4 linked regions of the Tamandua tetradactyla genome follow. The protein of the gene in region 3 purifies or fractionates together with the protein of the main gene of each other region. This does not show direct contact. Links are inferred from orthologs where the notes say so. Each region holds a gene or a part of one and is shown on either strand. Other genes may lie near its edges. The genes, in order: RALY, PABPN1, DHX9 and ELAVL1.

Region 1 (8,005 bases), on a different chromosome or scaffold from region 3:
AGTTTCTTCCGAAAATAGAGAAGGGGTCAGCAGTCATCTTTGAAAAAAGAAAAAAGGCTTCAGTGATGAGCTTCAATCCAGAGGGGAGAACTTAACCAAAGGTACCACAAGGCATGGGTTCTTGCTCTAAGACTGTAAGCCATGCCCTGCTGCAGATGCAGTAGGTTAAGGAAGACACTAAGAGCACAAGTTATATTGTCTGCAAATTGAATCCTGGCTCTGTCACTTACTAAATTATATGACCCTGAGCAAGTCCTGTAACATCCAGAAGCCTGTTCTTTCTTCTGTAAAACAGGGATAATAACAGTATCTAATGCAGAGGTTTGCTCTGAGGATTAAAAGAGACACAGACATACAGTACCTGCTATATGACAAATGCTGAATAAGTGTTAGTTATTATTACTAACACTACAAACTACTTTCACAGCCATTTTCTCATAAACCCTCAACAATCCTGTGAGAGTTTACAGATAAGGAAATCGAAGCTTAGAGTCACAATGAGTGGCTCATTTGATGAGGCCAAATCAAATCCTCAGCCTGAGAGATGTCCTGCCCCATCTCTTGTTTAACTGCATGACCTAAGGCAAGTGCCCTAACCTTGCTGTATTTCAATTTCCACGTAATAAAATGGCAATACAAACCTAGCTCAGTAAACTCCCTCACAGAAATGAATTAGAAATGAAATCAGATGATGGTTACAAAAGAGTGCTGTAAACTATAAAGTACTGTAAAACAAAAGTGGCAACTTATAAAAAATGGTATACCTGTGCACAAAATCTGGCCTTTTACTGCTAAACCTGAGGCATAGAGAGTGGCTGGGACTACACAACTTCGTTGGAATTTCCATTCACTCAAGATTCTTGGTCTTTCCAGGGCTGAATAAATGGTTAAATGCCCTTTCATGAGGCAGAAATAAAAATTACTGAACTGAGAGGCAGAAGACTGGAGATTCTAGTTCTTGTTCTATCACTAAGGCAGTTTTAATTTAGAACTTACTATTAATACAGAAAGGGGAACAATTCCTCCCTACCATGATTCTTGGGATGCAGAGGGGGAAGCACAGTACACCTACCAGATTCCAAGGGATTAAGACAGACATCAAATATCAGGGTAAGACCTCCCTTCCTAAGAGACCCCTCAATATTCAGCTCAGGAACTCCCCTGCCTGATTTTCAGACTCCTCATACATACTGGAAATCAAACATATTGGAAAACTGAAACACTTCCCAAAGCTAATTTTAGTTCACTTTAAGCTCTCTGGGCCTTATCTGAAAATAAGGGAAATAAAACCCTACTTGAAAGCAGACCTGAGTAAATGATTTGTCACCCCTAACCCACAGAAATCTGTAAATCTAAACACCAGAGAAATGCAAGGTTTGGAATGAAGAGGGGAGATAATGGAGGAGGAACATAATATGAACAAAATTATGGACAGACTTCACTTGGATTTACACCTTCCTTGAGCCAAAGTCCCAGGGAATTTCAGTTACGCTTGAGACCTGGAGTTCCCTGCATCCACCAACTTCTAGAGGAAAGGTAAGCAGAAAGTCATTCTATCCTCCTTTCCCTCGGAGTTTTGGTAGCCTAGAATGGTATTTCATGTGGAAAATGGCCCAAAAGTCAGGAAGGACCTAGTAATGCCCCTAACTCATGGTTGATCCAGGAATAACTCCTTTTGCACTAGGGATTATACATGCTCACATTAGGAAATAAATAACAGGTATTAGCATCACTGCCTTACACTTCTGTGGCTACAGGGTGTTTTGGAGCAAACTAGTCTCTCCGTGCCTTTATTTCTGCTTCTGTGCAATGGGAATAACTCCAGAAGGCCGTTGTGAGCACTAAATGAAAAAACGCCTTATGAAATACCTGGCAAGGGGCCTAGCACATGATCAAGTCTCATTAAATTTACCTGTTGGTATTAAACAGTTCTCATTTATTAGTTCCCTCATCGAGCACGCAAACACCCTGTGAAACGAATTTCATTTTTCCCCCATTTCACCGAGGCGCGAACTCAGGCTGGGCCGCGAAGAGCACTGCGTGAAGTGCGAAATAACGCCCCAGCTCGAAGGCCTGTGGTTGTTCCCCTCCAAGCCCCAGGTGTACCAATGAGCTCAGGACCGGGAGAAGTAGGATCGGGGGCGCTCAGGCCCCCGAGGGTCGAGTCAGGGCCAGTTGTACCCGTCTCAGGGATCCACAGACCCAGCCTAGGAGGACAGCAGGGCAGTGTGGAGGCGGAAAAAAGCCCGGGGCCAGAGTCCTGGCCCTGCCCGCCGAGGCCTCCTCGGCGCGGCCTCCGCTCCACTCCCTCCTCCCCTCGCCGAGCGGGGCGGGGCGCAAACACAAAAGACTCCAACTTCCGAGCCGGCGCGGGCCCACCCGGCCAACTCCTGGCCCAGGCCCGGGCCGCGGAACTGCCGGGGCGGGCGACACGGGGCGGCGGGCTCGGGTACAGGGAATGTGCGGAAGGAGGGGATCTGGAGTTACTCCGGCTCTCCGGGCTCCGGAATGACCAGAAAAAGAGTTTCTAAAAATAGGTAACGGCCCGCTTGAAGAGGTGAGCGACCGAAAAGAAGCACAGGAACACACACTCACACACTCACACACTCACACACTCTCTTGAGGAGACGCCCGCGGCTCCCACTCACCCGCGCCAAGAGATCTGGAGAGAGAAGCTCGGCAAGGAAGGAGGCGGTGCCGCCGCACTTGGGGGCGGAATGAAGGGAGGGAGAGAGGGAGGCGGCCCCGACCGCGGCGTGAGGAGCCTGAACACAAGCGCGGGAGCCCTCGTCTGCGGCGTCGTCGTCGTCGCCGCCGCTACCGCCCCCACAGCTTCTCGCGGCTTGATCTGCCCAGAGCCCGCGCCGTTCGCGCGTCCAGCTATACTGACAGCGGCGCGAGCTCCGCAGCCGCGAGTCCTTCCCTCGGCCTACACCACTGAGGCGCGCAGGGGTAGGGCCCCTCAGCTTGGCCCCGCCCTCCGCCCTAGTCCTAACCTGGGCTTCCCTCCCCTCCACTCCTGTCTCCCGGGTAGATGCTACGACAGTAGTGCAACGAGATTGGAACCTCGCCCAGGCACAACCGGCCCCGCCCCCAACGCCTGGGCTCTCTTCACCCCTCGGCTCGGCTTTGGAAAGGTCCAGAGCTTCCGCGGGGAGAGGCAAAGGGCGGGGCAGGGGCGGGGCCTGATAGGGAGGCGGGACTGAGGTGGGAGCCTGGGGACCCGCGTAAGGGCGGGAAGAGGGATTCGCTTGTACTAGTAGGGAGCCGAACGTGGGGCAAGGCTAGCAGGGTTGTGAATCCCTAACAAGAGGAGCGCAAGAGAGGTAAAGAAAGTAGTGGAGGCCTCGGAGAGCCTGGAGCTCCCTCAGAGCTGGAAAGGAGAGGCTGTGCTCGGGCCTAGAGGGCGGCCATACCCAGAGGAGGAGTCACGGTGGAGGAAGACCAAGAGAAGCTGGAAGAAGGAGGGGCTGAGGAGAAGCCACGAAAGAAGGAACGATTGAAGCGGGACCGGAGGAGGCGGGCCCGGAAGCAGAGCCAGGAGGAGGAGCCCGAAAGGTGGAGACTCTCGGGAGGAGCCGGAAGGAGGCGTGACCTAAAGAAGGTTTGAGTGGGTGGTGCTTGGCGTTAGCCGGGCGTGGGGATGGGGCTCAAACTCGTCGCCTGGAGGCAATGCTCTAGGGATCCGGAAAAGAGGAAGTAGAGAAGAAGCACAAGGTCTTTTAATTTTCAAGGAACCAGGCACTAGGGCTTCATGTCTAAGCTGGAACTAGGGGAAGAGGCTGCGGTGACGGTGGAACTCTGGGGGAGGACTTAAAAAATATATAAAGGTAAAATTCAAGTAAGTCTCTTTATACTTCTGGCTGCAGGGAATGTTTTCTAACTTGATCTGAGTGGTGGTTCTCCCTCCTAAACATCTCCGCTGTTGAATTTTTCACTTGGATCACTAGTCCATTCGCCAGAGTCTCTGATCCCCAAGCCCCAGCCTCCACAGAACAGCCAGAGGAGTTTTCTGAGAGCACAAAAGGACTGGTGCCTTTCAGTCTTCAGTTATGGACCTCCTTGAAAACTGGGAACTGACTAGAAAAATTCTCCATGTCTCATCCAATCTGGCCTGCGATTTCATGATTGTATTTATCATATCGTTTCCCCCAGAATCTACCTGAAAAACGAGATTCTCTACTCTGAGCAGAACTTGAATCAAGAGCTGTAGCTCTGCCCGATCAGCAGTTAGATCTACACTTCTGTATAGGCTGGAACTAGATTCTGGAAAGAACTGATTTCTTTGCTAAGCTTGACAGACAGTGGGAATCATTGAACGGTTTTGAGCAGAGGGTGCTTTGGAATGATCAAGTGTCAAGGTTGAAAGAATCTGCTCCATGAAATTGTGAAACTATAACCCACAATTGGTGGCTGAGAGGGGGGTGGGGGAGAGGTTCAAGGTTATGAGGACGGTTCTCCTAAGTCAATGAAAGAATATATTATGTCTCTCTTGGTCCTCACCAGCTCAGCCCTGGGCCCTTGTCTCTCCTGTCTGTCTTGCCAGGGGTCTCCAAATCCGTTTTTTCTTATCAAACAAAAGACAGGGTGGCATCTTCAAAGTATGGGCTTCATTAAGTAGGGAGAGCAAATTCAGACCTTCCCTCCCAATGCCTCTCTCACCTCAGCCTTCAAACCTCCTAACAGAGAGAGTACCAGTCCAAGTGACCTTCCCTCTGCCCCTCTTTGCAATCCATTAGCTGCACCACCAAGATCATATGCATTGCATTAATTGAAATTGACATTAAGGGCTCACATGCTCAAGCACATTCAAAGAAATTATAAAATGAATAAGGCTTTGTGTATGTGGCATTTGTTCTAATGAGAAAAAGCATCTCTAGAGCATCTTACTCAAAAAGGATTATGTACCCAGGAAATGATTATGAGGCCTCCCACCCCACCCATGCCTCCCAATATTCAGAAAGGCTTTAGTCTCCGAGATGCATTTCTGCAGATGTCATCCATCACATTTCCCCTTCGTGTTCTCCATTTCTTTATCCAAATCCACTCCTCCATATTCTTTTTTTAAAACTTTTTTATTGTGAAATATAACACACACAAAAAAATAGATTTCAAAGTACATTTTAACAAGTAGTTACAGTATGAATTTCAAAGTATGGTATGGGTTACAGTCCCACAGCTTCAGGTATTTCCTTCTAGCTGCTCTAAGACACTGGAGACTAAGAAGAAATATCAATATAATGATTCGGTAGTCATTTTCATTTGTTAAATCCTATTTTCTCCGTTAAAACTCCTCCTCCTTTTATCCTTCTCCCAATCTGTAGGGATATTTGGGCAAGAACCATCTAACTTCATGTTGAAGAAGGGTTTCAACATTATGGTGTATGGGGATGCAACTGGTTGATGCTCGTGAAGATACTGGTAACTCTGAGTTTGGGGGATTATCTGGCCTAGGGACCCATCAGGAGGTTGTAGGTTTCTGAAAAATAAACTTAGTGAGGGAAACTTTTTATAAATCTCAGATAGAGCCCTGGGTATATTTTAGGAGTTATAGGAATACTGTTGGTTGGGGCTTGGCATACCATGGGAATTAGCAATATCTAGCTGAAGCTTGCATAAGAGTAACCTTCAGAAAAGGCTCTTGACTCTATTTGAACTGTCTGAGCCACTGATACCTTATTTTGTTACATTTTCCCCCTTTTGGTCAGGGGCCATTATCAGTGCCGTGGTACCAGGGCCAGGCTCATCCCTGAGAGTCATGTCCCACATTGTCAAGGAGACGTACACTCCTGGACATCATGTCCCACGTAGGGGGGAAGGTAAAGATTTTCCTTGCAGAATTGGACTTAAGAGAGAGAGGAGGCCACATCTGAGCAACTAAAGAGTTTCTCTGGAAGTAACCCTTAGGCATAATTATAGGTAGGCTTAGCTTCTCCATTACAGAAATAAGTTTCATAAGAGCAAGCCTCAAGATCAAGGGCCTGGCTTATTAACTTGGGAGTTCCTAATGTTTGAGACAGTATCAGATTTCCCAAGTGGGAAAGTTTAATAGTTCCGTAATTTTTCTTCAGTCCCTCGAGGGATTTTGCCATTACTTTTTAATTATCTGCCCAACGTATTCTGGAATGTATCTGGGTATTATATTAAGCTATACAGAATTGCAAGACCTCATTCCCAATGCTAGACTCCATGTGTTTAGGCTGCTTAACTGAACTGGCCAGATAGGTTAAGTTAGATTGTGTGCTATGGAAAATTTAAGTTTTGGACAAAATAAACCTCTCATCCTTTAGTCTCATGCAGTAGATGAAATTGTAAAACACAAACACCATCATCCTTTACCCTGTGTCTGATTTATCTTAGTCCCAGCCAGATCAGCTTTGTTTTATCTCTAATTGAAGTCTGATCTCTTTTTTGGCTTCTTTACAGTTGCTTTATGTAAGAATACTGACTTTCAGAGCTGCACAACTCCAACTCTTAGTCATATGTGTCATCTGTATGACACCTCCATATCCTTTTAAAAATTCTCAGCCACATGTTAGTACCTTTGAGTTCTCAGATGTTCTTATTTGCTGTACCTCAGGATTTCTTAACCAGGTGGTCCTAGAAGTTCTCAGCTTTTGATCCAAACAGGAGACACTGAGATGAAGAGAATCCCACCTGAAGTAGATTGTAAGTTCTAGATACTGTTTTTCCCTGCACTGTATAATTTCCCTTTCTTGGAATTAGGGCCTGGATTTCCAATGAACCCCCAGTTCCCATTCTTGGTCCAAACTTTATAAAGAGTGAAGATACTAAATTTGGACATCCTGGGTTTGAATCCTGGTTCTGCCATTTACTACTTTTGTGAATCTGGGAAAATTCCTTAACCTCTCTACCTCTCATTTAAGAAATGTGGAAAATAATATCTACCTAACAGAGCTGTTGGATGGATAATATGAGTTGATACACATAAGATGTTTAGAAGAGTGCCTATCACATAGTAAACACTCATTTAATGTATTTATTATTTTATTATTACTGCAGAAGGAAATGGCCACTTTCCCCTAGGCCCTGGTGATGGGACCTGATGCAGGCTGGCCAATCAGGGCATTCCAACCCTCTACCCGCGGTAGAACCCTTCCCACACGTAGAAAGCCATACCAATCATTTGGATTGACACCATGGGTTGAAACTTAATTTGTTCTCTGAAAGCCTGGTCTTACCAGACCAATGCTGTAAAGTAAGGGAAAACTTCCAATTTTGGGCCAGTTCATTAGGAGAGACAAATCTAAGTAGGGAGACTAAGGAACTATCAAATTTCACCCTGCTGTGAAGGCCCACTCTCCCTACCCTAGCCATTGGTCAGATACCATGAAAATAATTGTAGTAGACTGTTAATTTGGGTGACCCCCAAGGAACCATGCTTCCCAGATTTTGTGATTTCATGTAGCCCCCTTCCACATTGACTCTGGGTTTGGCCATGCAACTACTTTGGCCAGTGGGACATTAGCAGTCAGGATACAAGCAGAGGCTTGATAAATGCTTGTACCCCGGGGCTAGTCCTCTTGTAATGCTTACTCTTTGGACCCCTGAGCTTTCAGATAAGAAGTTTGGCTACCATGCTGGAGAGACCAATAGGAAGGATTCTCTAAAACTACATGGAGAGAATCAGAAGTCCAGCCATCCCAGCAGTTTCCCTGCTAAACCCAGCTCTCAGCCAGTCTGGTACCTTAATGCAGGCACAAGAGTGACCACCAGCCAAATGAGGAGAAAAACTGCCCACCTGAGTCCAGCCCAGATGGAGGGCTCATGAGCAAGTAAAATGGTTGTTTTATACCACTAAGTTTTAGAGTGCTTTGTTACACAGCAATAGAAAGTCAACATAGCAATCACATTCAGTAACATTTCCTTAGCTCCACAGAGTTCTCAAGTGCTTCCTGCACCTGCAAGAATAGGAACATTGTCATCCCCATTTTATGGATGGGAAAGCTGAGGCCAAAAGAAGGGAAGCAACAACAAACCAAGC
Region 2 (7,438 bases), on a different chromosome or scaffold from region 3:
AGATAAGTAAATGCTAAAGACTCCAAGGTTCTGTAACAGTACTGCCCAATAGAAATATAATGCAAGCCATATATGCAGTTTTACATTTTCTAGTAGCCACATTTAAAAAAAACACAAAAATCTGATAAAACTAATTTTAATAATATATTTAACAATAAAAATATGATCATCTCAGTGCATCATTAATATTAAACAATTATTAATGAGCTACTTTGCATTCTTTTTTTCATACTAAGTCTTTGAAATCTAGTGTGTATTTTAGGCTTTGGTACACTTCAATTTAGGCTAGCCATATTTTAAGTGCTCGATATTGGCCATCATTTTAAACAATGTGGTTCTATATCATAGAGAATTACTGTAGCCTATACAATTTGTAAAGCAGGATTTAAAAACAAGGATGAAATACCAAGGAGTCAAATATTTATGTTGTCTAGTGAGAAAACTGTTCCCTTCTGGATAGAACTCAATATACTCTGACCTGCTTTTTTTTTTTTTTTTTTTTTCCATATGGGCAAGCACCAGGCATCGAACCCAGGTCTCCAGTTTGGCAGATGAGAACTCTGCCACTGAGCCACTGTGGCCCACCCATGACCCAGTTTTTTATTGTGAAATATACTATACATAGAGAAAAAAAGGAATAATTTTCAAAGTACTTTTTAACAAGTAATTACAGAACAGATTACAAAGTTTGGTATGGATTACCATTCCACATTTTTGGGTTTTTCCTTCTAGCTGCTCCAAAATACTGCAAGCTAAAAGAAATACCATTATAATGATTCAGCAGTCATTCTCATTTGTTAAATACTGTCTTCCTGTTATAACTCCTCCTTCCACTTGATCCTCTTCCCAATCTATAGGGGTCTTTGGGCTATGCCCATTCTAACTTTTTCATGTTGAAAAGGGGTGTCAACACTATAGAATAAGGGGATGGAATTAGTTGGTATTCTTGGAGAGGCTGGCCCCTCTGGGTTTCAGGACTTATCTGGCCTAGGAACCCTCTGGAGGTTACAGGTTTCAGGAATGTAAACTTAGTACATGAAACTTTTGTAGAGTCTCAGATAGAGCCCTAGGTGTTCTTTAGAGTTGCAGGAATGATGTTTGAGCGGGTATGGCAAGCCATTGTAATTAGCAATACTTAGCTAAAGCTTGCATAAGAGTAGCCTCCAGAATAGCCACTGACTCTATCTGAGCTCTCTTAGCCACTGATACCTTATTTCGTTACATTTATTTCTTTCCCCCTTTTAGTCCAGAAGGCATTGTTCATCCCTCCACGCCAGGGCCAGGGTCAACTCTGGGAATCATGTCCCCCGTTTTCTGAACCAATTTTACAGTTTAAATTCTCAACTCCACAGAATACGTTAATGGAAGATTAATACATTACCACCACCACCACCCCACCCCTTTTCTAAGAAAGCAATGGAGTTTCAGGTTTTCCAAAACTTCATAGCCATCTATGTATAAGTTATTACTTAAGGAGAACTATACTCATAATGGGTAAATCTCACACCCCTGTTATATATAACTTAAAAAAAAATTCATCCCCAGATGAAAACTTATCTCTGATGTTTTCTATTTATTAACAGGCAGGATGTTACATAAATCCTTCATTACTGAGGATTATTTATTCAATTAGAATTTATTAGTAATGGGAATACAAATATAATTAAGATGGTGTTCCTGCCTTCTAAACAGTCTGATAGGGAAGAATCTTTCTTTACAAGTCACCACTCAAATTTTTAAATGTGAATATTTGTTTGTAAAAGTCATCATGCTTACTTGGAAGTTGGAGTGACTTTTATACTTTAAATAAAAATAATGACTGTGGAAAGATCATCGAACACAGAAAACTGTAAAGAAAATCAGTCATAATCCTACTACCCAGAGAAAACCACTATTAACATTTTGGCATATTTCTTTCCTGTCTTTTATCTGCGCTTCTATTTTATGATCATACTGTACATACATTTTGTATATGGCAATTCTGCTTACCAATATATTGCAAGAATTTTTCCTTGTCATTAAAAACGTTTTGAAGGCATATCTAATATAAAATTATATTGAATGTGTACAGTAGTTTTCATGTAAGTCCACACTTGGACGTTTACATTTTTTCACTGTGATGAACATTTTCACTCACAAATGTTACTTCTTTAGAACAGATTATAAGAATTACTGGGTTAAGAGTCTCAACACTTAAAAAACTGGGTACATATTGCTAATGTACCTTTTTATTTCTATGGAGTTTTTCAGAAAATCATACTTTATATACAATTTTACATTTTACCACTTTGGCCTAACAAAAATATTTTTTGTATGTTATCACACACTGTGTGTAAATCTTTTAATAGGTAGATAATAATCTTTGATTAGATATAATCATGGTTTACTTAAACGTTGTCTGTTACTGGAATTTAGTCGTTTTCCAATTTTCAGTATTACATATAATGTGATTTTTGCATATTAAAGTAAACCATAGAGTAGTTATGATTTGAGCTTAGAAAGTTGGCCTTGAATTCCTTGCTCACTCCTAAATAGCTTCATGATTGGACAAGATACTTTTCTTTAAAGCTTCTTCTCTAAAAAAAAAAAAGAGTATAGTTTTGGAAGCATCTACTTGACAGGGTTGTTTTAAAATTCAATGAGATAATATATTAAGAAGCCTAATGTGATGCCTGTTAACAAAATGAAATGCTGAACAAAAACAGGATTCAAAAGCATTTAAAAAAAAAAAAAAACCACCACACTTCCTATGGTTGGCTTGATTACTTAAGTCAGGCACCAATAAACGCCCAGGTCTTGATTAGATTTAAGTCAGGCACCAATAAGCGCCCAGGTCTTGATTAGATTAAGTTCAATATAAAAGACCTTTCTTTCAGCAAAATTGCAGTGGTTTAGAGCCTGTCTTCGGTGCTCAACTTCAGTTCTCTTAGATCGCCGATGGATGACGAAGTAATTTTAAGCACTTTAAGCAACTGTGATTATGCCTCAAGTCCTCCAGATCCTGAGGTAAGGATTCGCGAGAAATAGCGGGGGTGAACGGAAGGGTGGGGTGTACTGAGAAGCTTTTAGATTTCGTTCGCTAATAGGGCTATCCTCCTCTCCCAGTCCTCCCTACCGACCACCACCCCGCACATCTCATGGGGCTTGTTTAATGTTTTGGGGGGTTCATGTGAATCCAACTCTCAAACGGTGGCTTGGTCCTACTATCAAAACATCTCTTTCAAACTTAGCACTGAGCACCTTACTCACTGCTGAAATGTAGCCACCCTGCCTTCAGGGCTGGTGTCCTGGTGTCGTTGGTCACTGGGGGCGCAGCAGTAAGGTGATACTTTGCCTGGAGAACTTCTGGAGTCTGAAGGAGGGCTTGGGGTCAGGAAAGCGCTGAAGATTCAGGGTCGCACCCAGACTCCAAATAATGCATCCTTCGGTCGATAAATATTTATTGGACTTCATATTGTGCTATTTATGGTAATAGGTGGTGGACAAACGAATATAAATAGGATCTAGCCCCTCATCTCCAGGAGCTCACAACATAAAAAACGCAAAGGGACCTAACACGTAGTGGAGGTAGGCCCCCTTGCCGTGGGAGAAGAGAAGCAGGGGAAGGCGTCCTAGTAGAGGTGATGCTAGGATTTGCTGTGGGTTTGGAGACAAGACTGTACAGAGGAACACACCTGGGTGCAGGTACACCCACGGAACAAAGAGTGAAATAACCGGGTTCTGAGGGTCTCCAAGTTCGCGGTAAGGAGTAGAGACTACCTGGCCAGCTCGGTCTGAAAGTGGTACGGGTTATAGGTATGACACCGGAAGCCGAAAGACCCGTTTGCGGCTGACACAAACCGTCCAGGCAAGAGAAGAAACAAGATAAAACCAGGGTCGTGAGTTTAGAAAGGAGGCCTAACCAGGAGGCAGAACTCTCAGGTCTTGTGACAGGTGAATGGTAATGCCAATAATCTGAATGGGAAAAGTCAGCTCTCTCCTGGACTGTTCCATTCAGAAACCGCCACTTTCAGCAATCTCCCAACTACTGGTACTTCCTGGATAGGACACTAATTTCCAGAAGCCGCCGCTGTGTTTCCGGCCTCTGCCTTCCAACAGCTCGTTTGGCAACCAATAGAATAAAGATGGCGTCTCCCTAAGAGACTAGGTCATGTGACATCGCTTTTCCCTGGCTTAAGGCTGGCAGTCCGTTTGGGGTCAAGGTTCACCTAGTAGATAGCTGGTGTCAGCCCTTCGAATTTCACAAGCCAATGACATCTGAAACCAGGACACCGCGGGGGGCGATGGGCAGATTGGTTCGTTCCACCTCTCCTAGCTAGGGGCCAATCACAGAGCGCCGTACACTCCGCGGGCCCTCCGGTGGGCGGGGGAGAAGCAGGAAGGTCGTCACAGCGTAGTGGTATTGTTACCTAAGGACTTGAGAGGAGGTGGGATGTATGTTGATTGACAGACGGATTTCTCCTACCGGAATTAGAGAATTTGGCGCAGTGCTCCGCCTTAGAGGTGGGGTCTTATTTGATTGCCAAGTAATATTCCCCAATGGACTCCTAGCTCGTGGTGACGGGCAGGCCGCTTAACTAATGAATTCTCGGCGTGGCCGGCGCAGCTCTCCAATCGCCGGGCGGCGGGCCCCAGTCTGAGCGGCGATGGCGGCGGCGGCGGCGGCGGCAGCAGCAGCGGTGGCTGCGGGCGGTCGGGGCTCCGGGCCGGGGCGGCGGCGCCATCTTGTGCCCGGGGCCGGTGGGGAGGCCGGGGAGGGGGCCCCGGGGGGCGCAGGGGACTACGGGAACGGCCTGGAGTCGGAGGAACTGGAGCCTGGGGAGCTGCTGCTGGAGCCCGAGCCAGAGCCCGAGCCCGAAGAGGAGCCGCCCCGGCCCCGCGCCCCCCCGGGAGCTCCGGGCCCTGGGCCTGGCTCGGGAGCCCCCGGCAGCCAGGAGGAGGAGGAGGAGCCGGGACTGGTCGAGGGTGACCCGGGGGACGGCGCCATTGAGGACCCGGTGAGGGAAGGAGGGCGAGAGACCGAACCGGCGACCGGCCGGCCGGGTCATGGGAGGCCCAGAGCTCGGGCGAGTGGGAGGCAGGCGGGGGATGGGGGTGGGGGTGGGCGGGGAATAATGTAGCTGGGGCCGGACCGGGGAAGGCTCCTTCACCACCGGAGGGGCCCGTCGGGGTTGATTTCGGGCGTCATGGGTGCTTAGTGTTGTTCTAGAGAAGGTAGCTTGCTTATCTTTTCATCACGACCCCGCGTGGGAAGAGGGAAATGGCGAGCAGGACTGGGGCTGAGCGCTTACCGAGAAAAGGGTTTAGCATCCTGCATTGGTTCCTCTTAAGCTGTTCATACCCCTCCCTACTTATTGTAGGAGCTGGAAGCGATCAAAGCTCGTGTCAGAGAGATGGAGGAAGAAGCTGAGAAGCTGAAGGAGCTGCAGAACGAGGTAGAGAAGCAGATGAATATGAGTCCACCTCCAGGCAATGGTGAGTAACTGGTGGCTGCACGCGGAGCCCGCGTCCTCGGGTTGAAAAGATGTGTGGAGTACGTATGGCATTAGATGCTGCGGGTCTTGGAGCTCGTTTCTGAGCAGTTGATGGGCAGAGGCCGCGGTTATTGCTAATTTATGTGTTCCTCTGACCTTTGTGAAACAGATCCTATGTTTGGTTGATGGTAGTCTTGTGCTTTTCTTTGTCTTTGTTATAAATATGTTGCCCTTTGTTCTTAGTCTATCTTTATTCTTTGTGAAGGTTGCCAGCTGGCATTTGACCTTCAAGTCAAGGGGTTCTTCCTTCACTTGGGGACCCTTTAGTTAGTAGACGTTCTAAACGATTTCTGCTTAGCTGCAGGGGTCTTCCCCTTTGTAATCTAGAAATGTAGACTCTCATCTTAATTTCTTTAACTCCTTTTCAATAGGGACTTGATGTATAGGGGTGGTGGTGGTGGGGAATTCTTGTTCTCTCTGATTTTTAATAATGTATTTATTATTAGTCACATTTTTAGTGGCCACCCACTATGTTTTTGGCCCTGTTCTGGGTAATGGGTACAGCAGGAAACAGAACAAACTCAAATCTTTGCCTTCACTGAGCTTATATTCTAATAGTGATAGAGGGTCAGAGGATAATAGATTGGTAGAGTAGAAAAGAAGTGTGTTTTCTAATTGTCTTTTTTCAAAGCTGGCCCAGTGATCATGTCCATTGAAGAGAAGATGGAGGCTGATGCTCGTTCCATTTATGTTGGCAATGTATGTAGTAGGGCCCTGATTGTAGTTGGGGGAAGCTCTAATTTGTGGGAGTTACTTAATGGAAGTCTTTTGAAAAGAACATCTCCAGGATAGGAGTGGGAGGAAGTAAAAATTAATGATCAGCAAGGCCTCTGGGGTTGAGAGAAAAGGGGATTAGTTCCTTAGAGAAACAGATTTGATGTGCCTCGCTGTAAATGTATGGCCCCAACCAGAAGGTGAGGCAGTATGCTGAGATGGGAGTTGGAGTTTGCCCAGTTCCTGTGAAACATTGTCTCTCTCCTGTCCCCCTCAGGTGGACTATGGTGCGACAGCAGAAGAGCTGGAAGCACACTTTCATGGCTGTGGTTCAGTCAACCGTGTTACTATACTTTGTGACAAATTCAGTGGCCATCCCAAAGGGTAAGTAGGGAAGTAAATTGAGATCATTTTAATCATAGTTTAAAAATAAATATTGAACAATAAGTCACTTGCTGTTAAAACCTAGGGGTCTTTGTCCTAAATGTAAACACATTGAGTCCAAATAAAGTACATCAGCAAGTTGAATTTGACGTACAAGTTGCTGTTTGCAGCTTCAGAGAGCTAAAGTGACAATAACCTTTTCAGGTTTGCGTATATAGAGTTCTCAGACAAAGAGTCAGTGAGGACCTCCCTGGCCTTAGATGAGTCCCTTTTTAGAGGAAGACAAATCAAGGTAAGCACCATGCATAATGCTGTTCAGGTTGCGGAAACTTGGCACGTTGTCTGACCTGGGCTTTTTGTGGTACATCCCACAACGACAGGTGATCCCCAAACGAACCAACAGACCAGGCATCAGCACAACAGACCGGGGTTTCCCCAGAGCCCGCTACCGTGCCCGGACCACCAACTACAACAGTTCCCGTTCTCGGTTCTACAGTGGTTTCAACAGCAGGCCCCGGGGTCGTGTCTACAGGTCAGGATAGATGGGCTGCTCCTCTCTCCCCGCCTCCCATGAGCCCTGTATGCTTCCGTCTCTCATGATAGGAGGAGCTTCCCTCCCTTCCCCTCCCGTTGGTCTCCAGGGCCTTGGTCTCCTGCCTATGCAGAGTGAGGAAGGTAGTTGAAGGGAAGGCCAGTCTCGTCTTTTCTGGAGCAGGAATTGTGGTATTAAGGGCTGGATCTCTCCACTCTGTTGCGAGAGATGCTTTCTCCCCCTAGACTTTTCTGGTTTTTTTGAAAGTGGGTAG
Region 3 (7,787 bases):
GTATCATCCTGTTGATACTCTGATTTGGACATTTTCAAAGCCTCAGACCTGTAAACTTATAAACTAATAAATACTGTTAAAAGCCAGTCCATTCCCATTCGACTACCACTTTTTCTCTTAATAGATTTTAGTGGCTATGCTTATGGGATAGATGAAAGTTGCCATGATCTGAAGAGGGAGGATTTTTCTGTGTGTCCTTCTTCTATATGAAATGGCTGAACAGAAAACCAGTGCCTGTGACATTTTAGTACTATGTACTAAACTCGATAAAACCAGAAGAATTTGAATAGTAAATTTATAAGTGTTTTTCTCCCCCACACTTCAAACAGGGAAGCAGTGCGGTATATCAGTGAAAACCTAATTATTAATACAGATAAACTTGGAAGAGATTGCCTGATTAATGCTGCTAAGACCTCTATGTCTTCCAAAATTATTGGAATGTATCCTTGTGATGGGCCAGCAAAGCTTGGGCTAATTTAAAAAGAAAGATTCTGTGTTAGTTTTTATGCTTAAACTATTGATTGCACTGGAGATCATATACTGAGATTGCCTGATGCCTTCCCTGCCTTTCTAGGGAGAAAAGCTGAACATAAAGTGTGTGTAAAACTTAAATTGTACATATTAAGTAAAAAAAAAAAAAGCCAGTCCATTTCTAGTATATTGCATTTTGGCAGTTTAGCAAACAAAAACAAGTCCAAATGCAGTAAGTATTCAGTACTTGAACTGAAAACAAGAACCTATATAGCTCAAATATTTACATGTTTCTAAAGTATCCCTAAATGTCCAATTAGCCCTAAAATGGCCTTGTCACTTTGACCTCTCCCCTAAAGAATACATGACTTTACAAGTGCTCCTGTATAAACCGCCTCTCTTCCAAGACACCTGTACCAAATTAAATATTAAAAAAAAATTTAAATACAGTAGAAAAGCCTATTGAGAGAGTCCTATTTCCTACTTTACAGGTATCTTTTTTCCTGTTCTTAACACAATGGAAGTAATAATGTAAGGAAGAACGACCATTACAAGGGAGAAGACTTGGTTTTATCCTTGCCACTTGCTTGAAGGTCTGCTATTACCACTACACTGCTAAAAATCCTCTGGTGGTGTCTCATCGCTCTATGAAAAAAAAAAAAGTCTCTTGTCTGAAGGTATGGGAGTTGAACCAGTTCTCTCCTTTAGGCCTTGCTACTTGTAAAACTTGAAGATACCAAGTTTCTTGAAGTGCAACATTTATTTGTTAGCGTCCCCCCTTTATTCCAGCTTATAGATACCAAAATAAATGGAGCCTACAAATCTAACGTCTGAGTCGTAATTATAAGCAATTTACCTGAAACCAAATTTAGACCAGAGAAAATATGCTATGAATTTAGTCTGAAGCCAAGAGAAACCTCCTTTCTCAGGTTACACCTGTTTAGGATCACTCTTAGTGCACTTTGTTAGCATCTACGTTTAATGCATTTAAGCCGGACACTAGTATAATCCTGTTATGGTCACTGTGCAGCCATGGGCTAACCCTGCTCAGCTGTTTTGGTGAAGGAGCACTCTATCACAGAAAAGCTGTGGAAAGCTGAAGAGGTCTACCTGTAAATTCCATTCCTGAATAATTAACTCAAAAAACAAGCCCTGAGTAACATGAAATACGAACTACACTATCAAATTCCTTTCTCCTTAAGTTGTCTCATCTAATTCCACAATATTCAGCATCAACTATATATTGAAAGCACAGTCCTTTCCCTTCAAGCTCCAAGATCATAAGTTTATCCAACTACCAAACTAACCTAATTTAGGAGTCATCTACCTCCTGAATAACTGCCATAACTATTCATTGTAGAGCACCTTAATATGGGCTAGTTTCCTTAGTGGATCATCTACATGAGCTATTTTATTTACTCTTTAGAGCCTTTAGATAACCATTATTATCCCCTTCTCACAGTTGAAGAAGACAGAGCTAGTGATCGGAGGAGCCAGAATTCCACCAAGGAGGTCTGACTCCAGATTTACTTCCCTCTACCACTACAATTCTGCTTCCCAAATATGTCTGCAATATATCTGCTTATGTCCATCTCTCCCACCAGCACTGCACATCTGGAGTACTGCTTCCACTCTTGCCACCTAAAATTCATTCTTTTAAATCCTTCTTGCCACAATCCAGTCACATCCCCTTCTTGAGGTTCCTTTTTAGTCTCTGGCCTTTAAGCGTCAACTAATCCCTCCTGCCTCTGCAGCTCTGCTTTTCCTCATCTTCACAGCTGGCGCAATCTCCGCCTTCAGATAATACCTTAAATGTCTACCCCCTCCCCTAGACGCCTTCCCTTGCCGCCCGACCTAAAATAACTCTCTCCCTTTACACTTCTAAATTCCTCATAATATTTTTCAATCGCTTACCCCTCACAAACCTCTCTGAGGGAAGCGGCGGGACTGTGTCTAACCTGTGTGATGCTCTACCCACTCTCTGCAGGAGGGCGCCGAATATTTGTGTCGTGAGGGAATGAATGAAGGGCCTAGGAGAGTGCGTCGCCGCGGGCTAACGACCCGACAACTCACTCCCCTTTCGCTCCGCGGCGACAGCGCCCCCAACGTGAGCTGATCGAAGGAGAAGCGGGTTGTACCTCGGAGACAGGGGTAGGAATTGCTGGGAGAAGGCCTAGGCGCCATAACCGCGGCCCTGGACAGGGCCAGCGCGCTGCGGCCAGCGGCAGACGCAACCCCCAATCCGGGAACTTGGCGGGGTGGCTCGCCCCTTCCCCCACCCGCCATGGGCACCCGCGCTTTGTAACAAAGCAAGGCTGCACCGACGTCGGGTCCCTCCCCGCCGCCCCGCGACACTGTTGCCCCGCAATGAGGGAAGGGCTCCTTTTCCTTACCGAATACCGCTTTAGGGTGCTCAAGAGCACAGCCCTCTCAGGACTGACCGTGGCTCCGGCCTTCTACGACGAAAGCAGAAAACCGCGAGAACGCTAGCATGGAAACGGCGGCGGAATGGCTCCGACCGCTGCGCAGGAAAGGGGCGGGGCGGGGCGGGGTTAGTACGCGTACGCCTGCGCAGAAAGCGAGCGTGGGCGAAGGCGCCAGAAGGCCGGGGGCGAGCTTGCTGCAATCTGGCTGCGCTTGCATCCCGTCGCCTTGGAGACCCGCTAAGTTCGCCGGAGGTGCCCTAGCGGGACTTCTTCCAGTAACACGCCACCCGCTTTTTAACATTTTAGGAGTTGGGGCCGTTAATATTTTAGATGTAGCAATATATATCGTAGCTTCTGTCCTAGGTACCTCTGGTGAGATGACAGAACTGGAAATCTCCGTGCTCACCTCATTAGGTTACTGTGATGATTAAATGAGATGGCATATTAAGGGGGCTTAACACACTACCTGGTTCATAATAGGTGTTCAATAAATAGTAGCTGCTGTCAATCGTTAAGTGATTCAGTTACTCTGATCGTGAATGTCTCCTGAGAAGGAAATACGCTCAGTGAAGGGAGGGACACTGCACTAGCTCAGGACACCCACTATGATGCCGGGCACATCGCACTTGCGCAGTAAGTACGAGTTGAAGGAATGAATAAAACATGCAAGGCCATTTTTGCTTAAATTGGATATCCTTTTGTATTCAGAATCTTTGGGTTAATTTGTATCCTTAAGTATTACAATAGTCTACTGCTAAATTTTTTTAACTCTAGTGCAACACTGCAAGATATTTCAAACTGAGTTGTTCCGGAAAACATAGACCAATCAATACTCTGGACCCATCATAACTATCCATCCTTAGTTTTCGCTTCTTTCATTACATTTTTTCTTACTCCTTCTAGGTCATGGTGATCACTCCCTTCTTCAAAACTCTAATGCACTTATAATGAGAACAACAAAATTTAGCATTTACTCATCTTTTATTTTCATCATGTGTTTGCTCTCCTCAATGAAGAGATGTGACCTAGCCCATTCAAGGTGGGTCTTAATCCTCTTGCTGGAGTCCTTTATGAGAGGATAAAAGGCAGAGACATTTTGGAGAAAGCTGAGAGAAATGCCCACAGAAGTTCAGAGAAATTTTGGAGAGAAGGAACAGCAGACATTGCTATGTGCCTTCCCATGTGACAGAGGAACCCCAATGCCAGCAGCCTTTCCTCTGAGAAGGTATCTTCCTCCTGATGCCTTAATGTGGATACATTTTCATGGCTTTAAAATTGTACATTTGTACCCTAATAAGGTTCAAATCTCCAAATAAGGGAGATCTGGAGGCGGAAAGGAAGCTGCAACCATCTTGTAGCTCACAGACATTGAGCAGTAGACTCACCTAATAGGTATGAGGCAACAGCTGGGCCTGCAACTGCTGCACCTTGCCATGGCTTCTCCTTCAGTTTCTCTGACTCCTGGGCCAGGTAACTTAATGAAGTGACATCATCATAATGGCAGCATAAGCTATCCCTAGGAAATTTCCTCTTAGAGACATTTAATAAAAGGGCACATACCACTCACCTGGAACTCTGGAAGACGAAAATCTGGGAAAAGATTCTACAAATGCTGAATCGAAGAAAAAAAAAAAAGCACCAAAAGGAAAAGAGAAAATCTGTGGCACGGACCTGCCTATCTGGATCTTCTACCTCACTGGGTCTTATGTGGTTTAAGAGTCACTCAGTGGAAGCACTCTGGCCTGGGCACCTCCTGCCATGGTCATTGACCATAGAGCCACCCACAGCAGTAACTTAGATCTCTGTACACATTTAGACACAGGGACCAAAGTGGGGAATCCGGTAGTCAGCAAGTGTGCTCAGAAAAATCAGCCCCCAGGAAACAGGAAACAAAGTGACCCACGATGGAAGGGTTGGCAAAGGGTGCACACTCCCAACTTGGTCTCTAATTGCTGGTGCACCTAAATGAAAAATGGGCATTTCTGAACACCAACCCCATCTGGCTCCCTGGGTGGGATACTCTAATGTGCAAGTTACTGGAGGCAGAAGAGCCGAATGGGAAAAAGGGAAAGACTAAACTGCTCTAAGGCAGAGAGGAGAGAGGACCAAAAACTGTAATGCAAAGGCAGTCCTGGAGTGGAAAAGCAGTTGATCAAATCACAGTTTCTGGGAAGGAAAATTTGCAAAAAGAACAAACAGAATAGTTCAGGACTCCTGAAGGAGGAACAAAGAAAAATAAATCTTTTCCTAGAGCTGAAACAGTCACACTTAATTGGACAATTGTAAGAGTTGCAGCACATGCCCAGAGCGAAAGACAGGTGCAGAAGATCTAAGAAAATCTGAACTGTTAAACACAGGCTGCTTTAAATGTTCAGTATAAGCCGGACCAAGCATTTGAAAAGAGCCTTACCACTCAGTCAGTGCACAATCAAATCCTAGGCAAAAGGAAGAAACTGGCTGAATTAGCACATCAAAATAATCAAATGGCCAGACATGAGAAAAAAAATCACAAACCATATAAATTCATCTTTATACCTTACACATATAAAATGTAATGTAAATATTTAATTAAAAACCTTAAAAGGTGGGAATGAACTTATTCAAAACTATCTAGGAATAACTCTGTTTTTTTTCCCCATAGATGAAGGTATATAGCCTTGATGATGAAGATTTGGTTCAGGAATAAAGAAAGTCTGATAGTTTTTTAAAAACATTGTCTTAAAAATCACTAGATTTCTACTGCAAGTCCTTGAATGGTGGATGTAGGTCCTAAGTATTAAGGCATGTAAGAGGAAATTCTACTCTTTACCCCAATCCAGCCAAATCCAATTTGTGCAGAGACTAATACCAAAAGCTACACACCTGGGGGACATACCTGGGGACTAGTAAGTGCAGGTTACCCCTACTCTGGTATGAGTTCATTTACACTAAATCCTATTTTCTTGGCGACATCATAATCTCTGATCTTAAAGAAGAAAAATGGGTGGATAAAGACATTACAGGTAAATGCGAACAAACATGAAGAAGGGGTGAAAATGACAGTATCAAATAATGTTGAATTCAACTACAAAAGCATTTAAAGAGAAGGGAAGGACACTTTATGATGATTGTTCTAGTTTGCTAGCTGCTGCCATATACTAGAAACAGAACGGCTTTTAAAAGTAGGAATTTATTAAATTGCAAGTCCACAGTTCAAAGGCCACAAAAATGTCCCAACTAAAGCAAGGCTATAGAAATGTCCAATCTAGGGCATCCAGTAAAAGATATCTTGGTTCAAGAACGCCAATGACGTTCAGGGTTTCTCAACTGGAAAGGCACATGGCGAACCTAGCAGCGTCTGCTAGCTTTCTCTCCCAGCTTCTTGTTTCATGAAGCTCCCCGGGGGGAGCGTTTTCCTTCTTCATCTCCAAAGGCCTGACTGCAAGGGCTCTGTAGCTCTTTCCAAAATGGTTCTCTCTTAAACGGCTCCAATAAGCAACCCCACCTTGAATGGGTGGAGACACATCTCCAAGGAAATCATCTAATCAAAAGTTAGATGTGACTCACAATTTGATGCGTCATATCTCCATGGATAATTTTAAAACTTCCACCCAGCAATACTGAATGAGGATTAAAGAACATGCCTTTTCTGGGGTCCACAAATTCAAACCAGCACAATGATAAAGGGTAAAAATCTATGATGAAGATTTATTAGTCATGAAACTTAAAGCAATAAGCAACAAAGCATCAAAACTCATAAGGCAAAACCACTTTTTATTTAGGGTTACATAAAGTCAGGTGTGGTAGTGGCAACAGGATGATCTATTTTAGGAATCTGTGAACAGTAAGGGATGCTCGATCTGAAAGAGGTGCAGGTTAGAGAGTTGAAAATAGTGTCAAGGAAGATCAGCAAAATGTTTAGTCTGCTTCTGGCTGCAAGTAATTAAAAGTCCAGCTAGAAAAGGCTAAAACAGCCAGGAAAACTTATTGTCACATAATAACACAGTCTTGACGTAGGGTAGCTTCAGGGTTGGTTAATTCAGCAGTTACATGAAGGTCCACAAGTTTTTTCTGCCATTCTCAGTATGTTGGCTGTGTCCTGAGATTGGCTCCCTCATGACTACAAAAGCATTGTAGCAATCTACCTCTGGATTCAACAACGGCCAGAGGAAGAAGAGATCTATGCATCTAGGTGGCCAGATTTATATCACATGCCCACCTGTAAACCAGTCACTTATAGGGAATGGGATTTCCATGGCTGGCTTAAATAATTTGGGATTTACCTCTGATCAGGACATAGGGTCACTTTTCCTGAGGTATGGGAAATAGAGAAATGGAGGTTCTATTAGAAAGAAAGAGGAGATGGAGGCACAATGGGCAGGAAAAATATGTTACATACAGAAGTGCAATACCAACTGTTTCCTTTTGGTAAGTCCAGGAAAATTATTCCATATAAAATGATCTTTTTATGGAATTAATCGATTATATTCCAAGTCTCTTGTAGGAAACTGTGTAGGCCCCATTCATTCATTCATTCATTCATTCCAAAAACCTCTGAGACCCTATGGACTCAGTGTGAGGACTCAGACAAGTAAGGCTGGTCCCCGCCTCTATTAGTCAGGTTCTCTAGGGAAACAGAACCAACAAAAGACATCTGTAATAGTATGCAATTTTATAGAAGTGTCTCATGCAACTGTGGAGATACATGAATCCAAATTCCATAGGGCAGGCTGCAAACTGGCAACTCCAATGAAGGTTTTCCAGGAATTCTCCAGGAGAGGCAGGTTGGCTGAAGTAGAGACAAAAGTTCTCTCTTCTGACTGCTGAAGTCATCACCTCTCCCTTAAAAGCCTTCAACTGATTGGATTAAACATCTCTCATTGTGGAAGGCACGCCCCTTAGTTGACCATA
Region 4 (7,408 bases), on a different chromosome or scaffold from region 3:
TCCCCATCTCTTCCTTCTGTGTGCAAATGTGACTTCCCCACTTTGTGGACTAAAACTATTCAATAGCCATTCCTGGCCCAGCCTTAAGGAGAACTCTTTATACAACAGACAGATGTGAAGCCCTTCACAACTGGGCCTGACTCATCCCACTCACCTTGCCTCTACTGGCTTCCACCCTTCTTACCTGCCCCTCAAGCACCAAACCCCAGGTTCCCTGAAGAAACTGAGATATTCCCATCTCCGTGTCTTTCCTCATGCTGTTCCTGCATCCATCAAAACCCTTCCCCATTGTGGAAGGATTCTGGTTAACTCCACCCCAGCCCTCACACCTTGCCTCCTCCAGAAGGTCTCTGCCATCTCTTCTGCCCACCAAGTCTTGGTTAACAGTGCCCTTTTCTGTGCTTCCCTGAAGCCAGTGCATAATTTATCACTGCACTCACCAGAGCGGACTGAAATGATCTCCATACACCCTGTATATTCCACTGACAAGCCTGGGACACAACAGCAGATCAGGGGGAGTTAGCTGAGGAGGGAAGCAAAACTCACTTCCCTTTTACAGGCTGGTTTCCTTGGGTCTTCCCCTGTCCCAAGGCCTTACTGCTTCACTATTGCCATCTAGGGGTGAAATAGTGTAACTGCACTTCTCTCACTAGCATTTAATTGGATTCAAATGAAAATTGAATGGGATGGGGGCACAAGTGAGGGAACAGTTAATTCTGGTGGAGGTGGAGGAAGGGTGGGAGTTGGAGAAGGCTTCAAGCCGTGAGTGAGCTCTGAGCTGGGCTATGCAGCATAAGGAAGAGATCTCCAGGTGGAAGAGAACAGCATTCAGGAAGTGGGAGCAACAGAGAGGGCCAGAGTTTAGATGAGGTCAGAAAGGAAGAGAGCATTAGAGTATGAAAGACCTGGAGCCCCAAGCTGAGGACTTTTGACTTCATCTTGCAAGCCACTCAAAAAGTTCAACTGTTTCTTCCCCACCCAAGGACTTTTAATCAGGAGTGTCATGATCAGATCCTTGTTTTAAAAAGACAATCCTTGCTGGATTGTGGACAGAGGATAGAGACAGGAAGCAGGAAACATGGCCTGAGTGAGAGACAATAGAGCGAACAGCAGAAAGAGCACTTTCCTAATTCTCCTCTCATTTTCTACTTGCTGCCCTGTGACCTCAGAATCAACACAACTAAAATGGAATTCTGCCTACCTCCCAAGCTAGGGCTTCAACATAAACATTTTTTCCTTCCACATTTTGAGACATTCATATATCTCAGCCTTTTTGTGGACCTTGAGGTGGCAGAATTTTATAATAGAATCCAGCACACAGGGAGTGCTCAATGATAACTGAATGGAATTCCTTGAAACACTGTCTCTCTGGGTCTCCTGGGCTGCTGAGATGATAAGAGCAGTAAAACCCTGTGGTTAAGAATGGGGCCTTTTGAGTCAGAGGGCCCAAGTTAAAGTCCCAACTTGGCCACTTTACTGTGTGAGTTTGGCCATTATCAAGTGTCCCACCTCTGCTCATTTTTTTTTTGTTTGTAAAATGGAAATTATAACAGCAATCAAGGGTTGGAGATGTCTGTGCAATGTTAAGCAAAAATAAGTTCTCAATAAATACTGGAGATTATTTACAACATCATTTATTAAGTGCCCACCATGCAAAGGCCATGCACAATAGATTACCAAATAATTGACTTAAATCCACACCTTAATACTCTCAGCCTTTCCATTTCACAGAGAAGTAAGCTAAGGCTCCAATAATTGAGTTTGTCCATGGTCTCAGGAGCCTTGGATCCTGGGGAGACAGAGTGAAGAATGGAGACTGGGGGCCTCTTAGTGAAAGTTCATCTAGTCCAGTGGTTCTCATTCTGGGGGCGGGGGCGATTTTGCACCCCCTGAGGACTTTTGGCAATGTCTGGAGACATTTTTGATCTTCATGCTTAGGGTAGGGTGGGGGAGTAGGAAGAGGAAATGCTGCTGGCATCTGGAGAGAAGAGGCCATGGAGGCTACTAAACATCCTAGAATTCACAGGACAGCCCCCACAACCAAGACTTATCCCGCCCAAATTGTCAGTAGTTCTGAGGTTAGGCAACCCTTTTCTAGTCCCATCATCTTCCTTGTGTTCCCACTTCTAGAGCATTGGCCATCGGGCTCCTACCTGAATACTTTTAGTAAGGTAGGGGCTGTGTCTCTCCAGGGGCAGCACATGCAAAGTTCTCTCCCACCCGCCATATATCCAGCAGGTATCAGAACCCATTTTAACAAACCTAGCAAAAAACACCGGAAAAGGAAAGAAAAGCATCCATCCCCCATTGTTCAATTGCGTGCTGTTTGTGTTTTCAACACACACACATTTTACAAATCTTAACGTCCCACGCCCCGTGAACAGCTTTGTTAGAGATGGCGCCCAAAAATAAATATTTTTCTAGGACTCCCATACATACTAACGGGTTTGCACACTTCGAAAAGGACTCCGGATCGGTCGCAGTCCACAAAAGAATCTGTAGGATTTCCCGGGGGAGCGAGCTCGCGGGCCGTGACCTCTAGGCGCAGTTGACGCTCACCCCACTCCCGGGTCTCTGGCTTCACGCTCCCGCCCCCGGATCCCGGGCTTCCAAGCCCGCCGGGGCCTTGGGGCCGAGCGCTTGCCCCAGCCGCCAGGCGCGCGCCCACGCCGTGTCCCCCTCGCCCACCCTCGCGACGGCCGAGGAATCCGGCCCTGGGCCTGTCGCCGGCGCTCACACCCGCCGGACCCCACTCGCCCGCGGCCCGTGCGCGTCCCCTCCCGGCCTGGCGCGGCCTGGCCCTCGGCCGGTGCAGGCCCGCGGGCGCCCGCGGCCCGGTCAGGAGAGCTCAGGCCTGGCGCGGCCTACATCGCCGGGCGCCGCCGAAGGCTCCCATCTCACCTGGACGCGGGCGGACGGGCCCGGGGCTGCTCCGGGGCGGGCGGGAGGCGGCGGCTCGGCGCTAACGGCTCCGCTCGGCCTCGGTAGCGGCGGCGGCGGCGACGGCGGCGGCGGCGGCGGCTCTTCCTCAGCGCGCACGACCCGCTCCGGCCCGCGGCCCGGACACGCCCCCCAGGCGCGCGCGCCCATTGGCCGGCGCCTGCCACGGCGCTCTTCCTATTGGCCAGTGCAGCTGTCGCGGTGCTCAAGGCGCGCGGGGGAGGCGGGACTTCCTGCCGGTGCCGCCTGCGGTGATACTCGGTGGCCCGCGATGGCCGCGAAGGGGAGAGCTAAGGCCCGGGCCCACGGAAGTCCCGGTCGGCAGAGAAAGAGAAAAGGGATCCTTGTCGAATCCCTGCCTTGTGGCCCGAGCTTGTCTGCCCCGCTGCCGCCGCCCTGCCAGGTAGGAAGAGTCACCACTCCAGACTACAGGGGACTGGACGCGGGTTCGAATCCCGGCCCAGACGTTTCCGCGGTACGTACTATTGGACAGGGGCTGACGTCACCTCGCCGGGCCTCAGTTTCCTTATCTGATGAGGTGAGGAGGCGGGCCTTGGACCTGGTCAGGACCTGGTGAGCTCCCAGAGGCTCAGTCTAACATTCACTCAATAAAACTTTATTGAGCGCCTACTGTGTGCAAGTCACTGTAGGGGCAGTGATCAGACAAGAAATCCTGCCCTCATTAGGCTGACGTTCTAGACGAGCGCTGTCCAGAAAAGCCAGATGTGAGCCACGAACGTAATTTTAAATGTTCTTGTAGTTGGCATTCTGTATCAGCGCTGCCCATAGAAATATAAGCCAACTACAAATGCCAGCCACGTGTCATTTAAGTGTTCTAGTAGCTACGTTCAAAAATTTAAAAGGAAAAATAGGTGAAATGAATTTTAATAATGTTTATTTAACCCGAGATGTCCAAAACATTATTATTTCAACGTAGAATAATATAAAAAATTACGAGACCTTTTAAAATTCTTTTTTGTTCCCCCACGTCTTTAAAATCTGTCTCAGCACTTCTCAAGTCCAACTGGCCACATTTCAAGAACTCAAGAGGCACACGTTGCCAGTGTAGACCCAGGGGGAGAAAAGAAACCAATCAAGTGGATTCCACATTCAGTGGTGAAAAGTGGTAAGGAGAAAAGCAAACTGAAGAAGGGTGATGGGGAGTACAGGGGTTGCATTTTAAAAGAGGGTGCTTGGAAAGGCCTCATATTGAGGAGATGGCACTGGAGGAAGAACTTGAAGGAGCTGAGGACAATGGACAAATAATTATGCTATTCATTGTTTAGTGCAGTGTCCTGTAGAGCCATCTGGAATAATGGGCCTGTTTTACATTTGCACTGTCTAATTCAGTCACCAGTAACTTCATGTGGCTTTTGGGTGTCTGACATGTGTCCAGTGCCATTGAGGAACTGAATTTTTAATTGCATTTTATTTTAATGAATTTAAATATACATAGCCACATAGGGGAATAGTTCCTGCAGCAGATAGCCTAAGTTTAGTATGGCAGAAGCAAGCCCTCAGTGTTGAGTGCATACTGTGTTAAATGCTTTATGCACGTCCTCCCAGGTAATCCTTGAAGTCATTGTCACCATGATGAATGATGAAGCCCTTTGGTTATATAGCAATACTTTTTTAGTAGTAGTAGCAATAGACTTTATTTTTTAGAACAGTTTTAGCTTTCCAAGAAAACTGTGAGGATAGTAGAGTTCCCATATGCCCCACACCTAGTTTCCCCTATTAGAACCAGCTTAGATTACTTAGATACGTTTGTTACAATTAATGAACCAATATTGACCTGTTCTCATTAACTAAGGTCCAGACTTATTCACATTTCCTTAGTTTCTCCCTAATGTCCTTTTTCTGTCCTGGGATCCCATCAAGGACTCTGCATAACATGTAGTTACCACGTCTCTTTAGTCTCCTTTAGGCCAAGGTAGTTTCTCAACCTCTCCTTGTTTTTGACAGTCTTGACTCTTTTGAGGGGCACTGGTCAGGTGTTCTGTAGGACATCCTTCTCCTGGGATTTGTCTGATGTGTTTCTCATAAGAACGTGATTACAGGTTCTTAGAAGGAAAAACACTGAAGTAAAATGCCCTTCTCATCATCTTATCAAGAGGACATGCTGTTAGTGTTATTTTTGACTGTGGATGTTGGCCTTGATGCTACCTGGCTGAGGTAGCTTCTGTTGAGTTTCTCCACTGTGAGGTTACTTTTCCCCCAGCCTTTCCTTATTGTGTCTTTGGAAGGAAGGCATTGAGCACAACCCATATTTAAGGAATGGGGCAGTATGCTCCCCCTCCTTCAGGGTGGAGTATCCATATAAATTGTTTGGAATTCTTCTGCATGGGAGATTCCTCTCTTCTCCACCCTGTATTAATTTAGTCAAACATTTAATTAGATCACTAGGGACTTGTGAATATTTATTTTATGCTTTGGGTTAATACTCAAAACAACTTTATTTTGTTGCTTACGTTGTACTGGCTTTGGCCATTGGGAGCTCTGCCATACCCCCAACGGTGTGTTTTTGTGCATTATTGTTTTAGAGCATTTTCTTACTCCCTGGAACAGCAAGAAGTTCTGGGCTCACCTTGTCTCTTTCCTGCCCTGGTTCTTGAATCAGCCATTTCTTCAAGGATCCCAGGTTCCATTTATTGGAAATGGTTTTAGATACCAAAATCTAATTACTAGGTGTACTTGTTGCTACTGGCATGTCACATTAGCATTAGTTGCAGGTGCTAGCCCTAGGCATACAACAGTGACCACACAGACATGGCATCTACCCTCACAGAACTTTGAGTCAGCTTACAGAGACTGGTTTAAGAGCAGAGCTCCAACGTATATTAACTGTGCAACTTTGGACAAATTATTTTGTCTTTCTGAGCTTCAATTTCCCCATCTATAAAATGGGGATGATTATAATTTTCCTGAAGGTGCTGTGAGAGTTAGGTGAAATAACCCATTTAGAATCTCTAGAACAAGATCTGGCATAATGTGCTTATTATATCTTATTATAATAAATTGCACAACTAATTATAATCTAACAGAGGTTTGGGCCATCAGCAAAGCATATAACTGGAGGACTTGACTTTGTTTTAGGATGGCTAAGGAAGGCTTCCCATGTCATTGGTGTTTCAGCTTAGTCATGAAGGGTGAGTTACCAAGCAAAGAGGAAGCAGAATACTTCAGGCAGAAAGAACAGCAAGTACAAAGGCCCTGAGGCAGGCTGGAGGCTGGCACACATAGAATACACGGACAGGAGAAGGACTCATGGGATTGGCAGAGGTGGGCTGCACGGGGCCTCGTTGACCATTGTAAGTTGAGACTCAGTCCTAAGAGCAAAACCAGAAGTGACTTGCATGAGTACACATAATCTAGTGCACAGAGTGACAGAGTCAGGATTTGAACTCAGGTCTGCCTAGTCACAGAGATCCTTTTTTCTGTGGTTTGAATTTGAGAGGAAGTTCTTGCTTTCTTTTTTCCTTTTTCTTTTTTTTCTGTAAGAAGTGTAGTTTTCCTTCTTACAGTAGGAAGTACTCGAGGAATACCCTAAGTACCTGAGGAGTACACTCAAGTCACTATGTTTCCATGTTGTTCTTGCTTTCCCTCTAAGTCCTGGTCTGTTCCTTAAGCACAAGCTATTGAAGGTCTGTGAGGTCAGGAGACACAAAGATGCTTCGGCCTAGGTCCCTGCTCTTGAAAAGTGAGTTGTGGGAGGTGCTGGGATACAGGTGGTGAAGGAAAAGGATGGCCAGATGAAATTGGACCAATGTCCGGATGTTGTTGCAAAGAGACCTGAGGGGGTAGGCAGAGCCGTTGGGATTTTATCCCGAAGTCCTAGAGTTGGCAAACTATAAACCAATTTAGCCCACTGCCTTTTTTTGTTTGTTTGTTTTTTGTATGGGCAGGCTCCAGGAATCAAACTCGGGTCTCCAGCATGGCAGACGAGAACTCTGCCACTGAGCCACCGAGGCCTGCCCCCCACCACCTATTTTTGTACAGCCCACTAGCTGAGTGTTGTTTTTACCGTCTTTTAATGGTTGAAAAAAATCAAAACAAGAATAATATTTTGTGACCTGTGAAAATTGCATGAAATATAATGAGTGCAGGGTTTCTGCTTGGGTAGATAGAGAAGTTTTCCTATTGGAAGGTAGTGATGGTAGCACAGCATTGGGAATTGAATAGCTTGGGAGTGATTGAGGTGGGAAATTTTATGATGTATATATGTTACCACATTTAAAAAAGAGATAGGAAGAGAGAGAGACCAAAGAGAAAATGACAGTTAAGCACAATATGGAGGTAAAAAGGTCCAAAAGGACATTATTAGAACATATAAGAAAATTGGAATATAGACTGAAAGCTTTCTATCAATGTTAGGTTCCTTGAACTTGATAATTGTATAAGTGAATATCCTTGTTTTTAGGAAATATATATGGCAGTATAAAGTATTCAAGGAGTGTGATATCTACAA

The links.
Region 1: the proteins of DHX9 (region 3) and RALY purify together in Homo sapiens (affinity purification with mass spectrometry; 3 studies listed by BioGRID and IntAct, with this or other methods). This does not show direct contact. The link is inferred for Tamandua tetradactyla from reciprocal best matches to the Homo sapiens genes DHX9 and RALY.
Region 2: the proteins of DHX9 (region 3) and PABPN1 purify together in Homo sapiens (affinity purification with mass spectrometry; 4 studies listed by BioGRID and IntAct, with this or other methods). This does not show direct contact. The link is inferred for Tamandua tetradactyla from reciprocal best matches to the Homo sapiens genes DHX9 and PABPN1.
Region 4: the proteins of DHX9 (region 3) and ELAVL1 purify together in Homo sapiens (affinity purification with mass spectrometry; 3 studies listed by BioGRID and IntAct, with this or other methods). This does not show direct contact. The link is inferred for Tamandua tetradactyla from reciprocal best matches to the Homo sapiens genes DHX9 and ELAVL1.

Annotation. Positions count from the first base shown.
Region 1 is NC_135327.1:18,996,618-19,004,622, forward strand, and holds the start of RALY (RNA-binding protein Raly), read right to left. Parts: upstream 3,014-8,005; 5' UTR 2,649-3,013; intron 2,311-2,648; exon of another isoform or gene 1,913-2,310; intron 1,537-1,912; exon of another isoform or gene 1,341-1,536; intron 1-1,340. UniProt on the Homo sapiens protein: RNA-binding protein that acts as a transcriptional cofactor for cholesterol biosynthetic genes in the liver. Binds the lipid-responsive non-coding RNA LeXis and is required for LeXis-mediated effect on cholesterogenesis.
Region 2 is NC_135340.1:31,562,668-31,570,105, reverse strand, and holds the start of PABPN1 (polyadenylate-binding protein 2), read left to right. Parts: upstream 1-4,433; 5' UTR 4,434-4,646; coding exon 4,647-4,997; intron 4,998-5,108; exon of another isoform or gene 5,109-5,214; intron 5,215-5,360; coding exon 5,361-5,475; intron 5,476-6,165; coding exon 6,166-6,233; intron 6,234-6,525; coding exon 6,526-6,632; intron 6,633-6,836; coding exon 6,837-6,924; intron 6,925-7,012; coding exon 7,013-7,164; intron 7,165-7,438.
Region 3 is NC_135330.1:37,702,006-37,709,792, reverse strand, and holds the start of DHX9 (ATP-dependent RNA helicase A), read right to left. Parts: upstream 3,011-7,787; 5' UTR 2,865-3,010; intron 230-2,864; exon of another isoform or gene 91-229; intron 1-90. UniProt on the Homo sapiens protein: Multifunctional ATP-dependent nucleic acid helicase that unwinds DNA and RNA in a 3' to 5' direction and that plays important roles in many processes, such as DNA replication, transcriptional activation, post-transcriptional RNA regulation, mRNA translation and RNA-mediated gene silencing.
Region 4 is NC_135337.1:84,443,756-84,451,163, forward strand, and holds the start of ELAVL1 (ELAV-like protein 1), read right to left. Parts: upstream 3,004-7,408; 5' UTR 2,902-3,003; intron 1-2,901. UniProt on the Homo sapiens protein: RNA-binding protein that binds to the 3'-UTR region of mRNAs and increases their stability.